Canis lupus familiaris: one gene and its partner. The protein of the gene in region 2 interacts with the protein of the main gene of each other region in a pairwise test. Links are inferred from orthologs where the notes say so. Each region holds a gene or a part of one and is shown on either strand. Other genes may lie near its edges.

Region 1 (3,660 bases), on a different chromosome or scaffold from region 2:
GTGCATCTAAATGCAACTCTGTTCAGATACGTTTTCCTTTGATCCTTTGACTGGGGAGGCATTTGACTGAATTCCACTTCACTGTTTGAATTTTTGTCTAACTTGGTTTTATCAATCCACATTTTCTCAGGTTGATTTCCACCAACTATTCCCTTAGCATCCCTTGAAATGTATGCTTTAGACTCCTCTGAAGAGTCAGTCTTGAGGTTTTTACCATGGCTTGCACAAATATTTAATGATTCCTTACAAGTCTGTACACTGCTATTGTGTCTCTCATTTGATTTCTCCCAACTCCCTACTTGCGTGGAAAGTTTATTAGACTTCATGTATTGAGAATCACACTGTAAGTTTCTCACACAGCTTTTCTTTGATGCGTTGCTACCCATTGCTTCTTTGTGTTTCTGTCTTTGCAAATATTCCTTTGGTGTTAGAACTTTATTAATTTTAGATGAGTTACCCTTAGAGGCTGCGGATTTAACATTTGACATAGTCTTTTCTTTAACCCTGGCTCTTTCATTTGGGATTGACAAAATATTACATAATTTAAATGTTCCATCCCCATTTTTATTCTGCTCTTGTTTATCATATTTCTTCTTCTTTACTTTTGAATCAAGTATGCTCCCATCATCTAACTTCCTTTTATCCGAAACTTCTGTTCCAAAGCCACCTTTCAATCTTTTCTCTGAGGATACTGATTGTACCAAAGAACCATTTTTCATATGTAAATCTTTATTTTTATTTGTCAAGAAGCCTGCCTTTGTTTTTAGTGGGTGTGAGTTTTGTGCCATGAGCTTTTGGTGCAGACTCTCTTGAGAAAATTTTGTCATTTTATTACTGGTGTGAAAAGTTATCTCATGAAACTGCAGTTTTCCTTTTCTTTTGTGACTTTGCATGGAATCTAGTTTTTTATCACCTTTAGAAAAAAACTGACCTGATAATTCTTGTTCTGTCCTCAGTGATTTGTGTTTTGTTTTGGGCATTTCAGTTATATTTTTGCCTTGCTCTATTTCAGGAGAATGGTTTTTCTTATCTGGAAAAGTCAAAGGAATCTTCAGATTGTTATTTAGAGGACTCTCACATCCACGAGAGACATTTCTATCAGAAGTTCTTTCTCCTTCCTTACAACTTTTGATCTTCAAAGGTGAACACTGATTTTCCCCTTTGTCTTCTTTTGAAGCTGAGTTATTGATGCAATTATATTGACACTGGGGTACTCCTTCATAAACCATAGACAGCCACCCCAATGTATAGCAACCAACATCATCTTTCTCTGAATCCATTATATTATCATCAGTCTTTCCATCTGTATCTGCTTGTGGGTCACACGGACTCCCTTCTATTTTTATAGGCTCTTCTTTCTGATGTTCTGTCAACTTGTCAACCTCACAGAGTGGGTCGTCATGTTCAGGAAATAATTCTTTCATTTGCTCAGAGTTTAATACCGTAATCTGTATTTGTTCTGTTGAGTCCTTGAAGTCACAACCAGTTTGATCTTTTGAGATTTGGTTGGTTATCTGTTGGGCCACAGAACCTTCCTTTGTGTTCACAGCTTCAATACCATAGGGAAATTCTTTTAAAAGTTCTGACAGCTGATCGTGTAGGTATGAGAAAGATGCCTTATCATTGAGAATCTCACTTCTTGCAGGATCTTGGGCAGTATAATTGCAGGACGCATCACCTTCCTGAGGAATAGCAGACAATGAACATGTATCATTAGCTGTGCTTTCTTTTTTAGTGACATGTTCCACGTTGCTTTCCTCTAGAATTTCACTGTTGGCTTTAACATACTTCAAAGATAACGATTCTGGATGTTGTGGTGATTCTGCTGGTCCAGTTATTTTATGTGAAACATCTACACACAGTGAAAAATTACCATTTTGAAAACCAAAGTCTTTATTTTCAGTGAGGCTGTCTATTTGCTCTTTTTTACTAATCACTTGATGATTGGGTAGAGAAGATTTCTGTGGCTCAACCCTTTTCAAAGGAGGCAAGTTGAATATCTCTGCTATTTGGGAATTATAAGATGTATCACCTTCAACAAGAGAACAAATGTTGTCAATATGTAACATATCACCACTAACAATATCACTGTTCCTTGACTTATATGAGGCCTGCTGTTCACTCACAGAACAGTGGGGATCTGGTTCGGATTTGATATGATCTCCTTGATGGCTATTAGGTGTATCTTCTGAATTAGTCGATTCATTTTGATCTTCCTTCTGAACTGATGAGAACATCTTTGTATTTGTTGTGGTATCTGCTACTGGTTCATTAACATTAGCTTTCAACGCAGCAGTAACATTGGTATTTTCTGCCAACTGATTTTGTAAGCTACAAACACTGCCTTCTTTAATAACTGGATACAGTGTTTCAGGTACCGCTTCAGGTGTTACACCTTTGGCAGACAATGTTTTGACATCTGAAAGAATTAAGGGTGACACTACAGCAACCTGAAGTTCTGTTCCCTTTGTAACAGTTGCACTGGAAGACTCATAATTCTGTACTACTGTTGACAAAGATGTTTCTTGGGAAGTGTTTACCATCTTATTCTGAGAATTTCCTACAACTAAAAATGGACTCTTATCACAGGTTTCCACAGGCTTTGAAAATCCAACTGCTGTTCTGTTTTTTGCCTCATTATACTGTTTTTCTTCTGTAGGTTCTTTAGGTTGCTTTTTCCACAGAGAAAGACATGTTGCTAGCAATTCCATGGAAAAGTGATGGTCACTTTTAGAAGACATTCCACTCGAGGATTTCCGCTCAAGGCAAAAAGAGTTGTCTAAAACCTTGGTATTTATATTACAAGGACTTGGAGTTTCCATGGTTTTCAAATTCGTTTGGTTACCAGTGACTTGGGTATTTGAACTAATTTCAAAACTATGTGGTTTAGAGCCCTGAATAGTTTCACCAGTATTTTTAAATAATTTCTCCTGTAGTTTATCTCTACATGTAAGTAAACTGAGAATCAGCGTATTTTTATTTGGGTATTTTGAAACATATTCCTCAAAAGATGTAGACTGAGGAACAGAAGTTGTTTCAGAATTTGTTGGCACATTTGGTTCAACGTTGACATTTCCTGATGAAACCTGGGTGTTATTTAATGTTGTCTGGGTAATCTCAACAGTTGATGACTTTAAAGAAGTCCTAACTTTCATATCATTTAACTGGTCTGGCATTGGTAACTTTTCTGAATAGACAGAATTTCGTAAAGTAGAATTCACTTGGTTACAATTTCCCCAATTGAGGTCTTGAATGTTAGAATTCATTGTAGTGTGTGTTCTACTTGTTTCTTTTGCAGATTCCATTATGGTTGGTGGCTTATTCTCTGGAGTCAGTAGGGTTACCTGTGGCCCAGACTGGATTTGGACATTTTGTTTCACAGACAATTCAGAATTTGGAGCTAATTCATTGTAAGGGGTATCAGTTGTTTTAATACAACCTGCTGCCATCAAAAGATTTTTATTAATTTTAATTTTCCTTGCAAGTTCGGAAAACTTCTTTTTTATTTCTACTAATGTTTTAATATCCCTCACTAACTTCTCTTTTGTGGCATTTGTGTCCAGTATTTGATTTGAAGATAGATCACAAGAGTCTACGCTTCTCTCTTGATTATTCTGAGCAAGGGTCTGAACACCATCTATAGAAGATCTAACAGGTTCA
Region 2 (3,373 bases):
CAAGAACTTCGTAAAGTCATTAAAGAGTATCCTGGAAAGGAAGTGAAAAAAGGTCTAGATAACCTCTACAAGAAGGTTGATAAACACTTATGTGAAGAGGAAAACTTACTTCAGGTATGCTTAGTTCTGTTCACCACCCTAGATTGTACATCTTTATGTATATTGCTTTTCTCCAAAAGAGTACTCTAGAAAGACTACAGATTTTCTAATTATAGTGCAGGAGGAAATTTCCATAAAGTACAGACCAGATTAATGAGTTGTGAGGAACAAAGGAATAATATTTATAAGTATATATGGCTATTCCTGCTTATTTTATATTTCTGCTTTATTGTTTTGAGGCATTAGTTTTTCTTTTGTTTGGGAGTAAGGCAGGGGTTTTTTTAGGCTTTTTGTTTGTTTTTTACAGATGAGAGTAACTGAACGGAATAGAGTATAGTACAGTGGAATGATTTAAGCATGGGAACCAGAGTTAGAAACAGGTTCATAATTTGGCTTCAGGTTAAGCTGTATGACTTTGGGCAAGTCATTTAACCTCTCTGAGCCTCAGTTTTCGTATTTGAAAAGTGGAAATGATACCTCTTTCATATAGTGGATACTACTATTATTGTCATTGCCATTTTATAGATGAGAAAATCAAAGCTTGGAGAAGTGGAGTAACATGACCAAGAACCCATAGTTAATGGATGGTAGAGTCAGATTTAAATCCCAAATTGAGCCATACTGAAAGGCCCAGAGATGAGTGAGAATAATTCTGGCTTCAACATCATCAAAGCCTTTATGAGGGCTATTGCATTTGTGTTCGCCTAAAGTCTCAGATAGTTACAGATAATAGGAGTGGCGGGTAGAAGAAATACCAAAGGCTAAAGATGTAAGGCAAAAAGTATATTATTTAGTAAGTAGACTTAAGGTGACAGGAATTTAGGATTTATGGGATTTAGCGTTTACAAGGAAAAATCCTAGAAGAATACATTCCCTCATCTATCGGGTAGTGATGATGGTCATAGCACCCACCCTCACCAGGTAGTCATGAGACTTAAATAGGATAATGCATATATAAAGCACTTTGTACTGTGCTGATAAAAAGTAAGTATCAATAAATGTCACCTGTTACTATTAGCTAATATCTCAATGTAATATCAGATTCTGTCCTGATAGTTATTTACATAGTAGTTTCTACTGCTAAACCATAAATCCTTAGATCGTATATAATCCATCTATTTCATCTTAATTTCCTTCATGGCTTCAAGCTATGTTTTGTATCATCAATTTGAGATAAATTTTTAAACTTTCATCTGAAATGAAATTTAAGGATTAACTGTTGCATTTCATTTAATTGCTAGTCTTAGTTCCATGCATAGTTGTGCATATACACATCTGTATTAGATATTGTAATAGATAAAATAATAGCTAAATGTAATGAGTGCTTACTATGTCAAATGTTCTAAGCACCTTACATACATGCACTCATCTAATCCTCACAAGAAACTTATGAGGAAGGCATTATTGTTACTACCCTGGTTTACAGAGGAGGAACTTGAGACCCAGAGCAGTGATGTAACATATTCAAGATCACATATCTTGTATGTAGAAGGAGCAAAGATGCATGTTCTTACCCATGACACTCTGCTAAATTCTTAGAATATGTCCTGACATTATTTCTACATACTTGATTATATATTTCCATTGGTAATTTAATGACTTTGTTTTCATTTTTGTAATAGGTGGTGTGGCACTCTATGCAAGATGAATTTATACGCCAATACAAGCACTTTGAAGGTTTGATAGCTCGCTGTTACCCTGGTTCTGGTGTTACAATGGAATTCACTATTCAGGACATTCTAGATTATTGTTCTAGCATTGCACAGTCCCACTAAAAAGAAGAGATAAATGAAAGAAGTGTCTACTATTTTATGTATATGTATATTTATATCTTCTTTTCATATACATATATATGAAAAGAAAAGCAAAGATTTAGATGCTAGGGAGCCCCTGTTGCTTTAACTCAACAGATTAGGCAGGAGGAATGGTTATATACAACTTTCCTTATTTGTGTAACTAATAACATGAGACCAACCTATTGCAGGTGGTCACTTGGATATATGTGCTAACAGGGGCATGTGAAAGGAAGAACAGCAAATTAAGTGTCCCTGAAAGTGACAGAACCATACTTTTGACAAGTTTATTTAATTCTTTGTGGTAGAAAAGGCACAGCTCCAATAAATGTATCATTTAAATTTTTAAAAATTAAAAAAACTTCTGAAAGAAGAAAAGATAAATGAAAAAGCACTCTGAGTACACCAGACATTATTCGAAATTTTCAAGTAACTGTTTTGAGAACCCAGACTTGAAACTTTATGCATTATTAAATGTCAGATAAATGGGTAATACCATACTACAAATATTCAAGAGCAAAAGTACCAACTTATTTAGCAGTTTTAGTTGCCCAATAGGTTGTGTACTAACTTGAAACATTTCTCTCATCATAAAATGCCTTTAAACATATTTCTATAACTGAACAGAAAGTTTTCTTTATTGCCTAGTTTCTTGTATTTGAGAATGGTTATCCTATGTGTAAGGCAGTAGGAGTTCTTCTGTTGCCATTAATTCACTATTGCTTACAAATCATGTAACTACTAAAATATTGTACAGAATATTTTTCCCTCTGTCTAATTAGTGTGTATATGGATAAGGGATCTTGCGATGATCATTTGTAAACTTAGATTTTGAGAATTATGTGATTCTGTGTGGCAAAAAATCTGAAATAAAGAAATTTTCCAAAAAAATAATTTTTTCAGAAAAGTTAAAATTTGGTATCATTCTCAGATCTGTTATACGCTGGTTTTTTGTATAAAAGCAAATTTTTACAAGATCAACATACAAAAATTACATGTTCATTTACCACAAAACACTTAAAAGTATAATAAGAGGGACATCCCAGGTGGCTCAGCGGTTTAGCGCCACATTCGGTCCAGGGTGTGATCCTGGAGTCAGTCCCGGGATCAAGTCCCACGTCAGGCTTCCTGCATGGAGCCTGTTTCTCCTTCTGCCTGTGTCTCTGCCTCTCTCTCTCTCTCTCTCTCTCATAAGGAAATAAAATCTTTTAAAAAAGTATAATAAAAATATCAAAAATATTTAGTATTTAGATCTAAATCTAAGAAAGCATTGTACTATGGACTGAATTGTGCCTTATGAAAATTCATATGTGGAGCCCCTAGTCTTTCCCCACAATAGTGCAACTGTATTAGAAATAAGGCCTATAAGGGAGTGATTAAGGTTTAATGAGATTATAAGGATAGAACCCTGATCCAACAAAACTGGTGCCCTTTTAAGAAAACACCATGCTCTTTGCCATGTGAGAACACAGCAAAAAGGC

What was found. The genes of interacting proteins can lie anywhere in the genome.
Region 1: the proteins of EXOC1 (region 2) and RESF1 interact in a two-hybrid assay, tested with the Homo sapiens proteins (2 studies listed by BioGRID and IntAct). The link is inferred for Canis lupus familiaris from reciprocal best matches to the Homo sapiens genes EXOC1 and RESF1.

Annotation. Positions count from the first base shown.
Region 1 is NC_049248.1:29,734,699-29,738,358, reverse strand, and holds part of RESF1 (retroelement silencing factor 1), read right to left. Parts: coding exon 1-3,660. UniProt on the Homo sapiens protein: Plays a role in the regulation of imprinted gene expression, regulates repressive epigenetic modifications associated with SETDB1.
Region 2 is NC_049234.1:48,934,538-48,937,910, forward strand, and holds the end of EXOC1 (exocyst complex component 1), read left to right. Parts: coding exon 1-114; intron 115-1,721; coding exon 1,722-1,874; 3' UTR 1,875-2,786; downstream 2,787-3,373.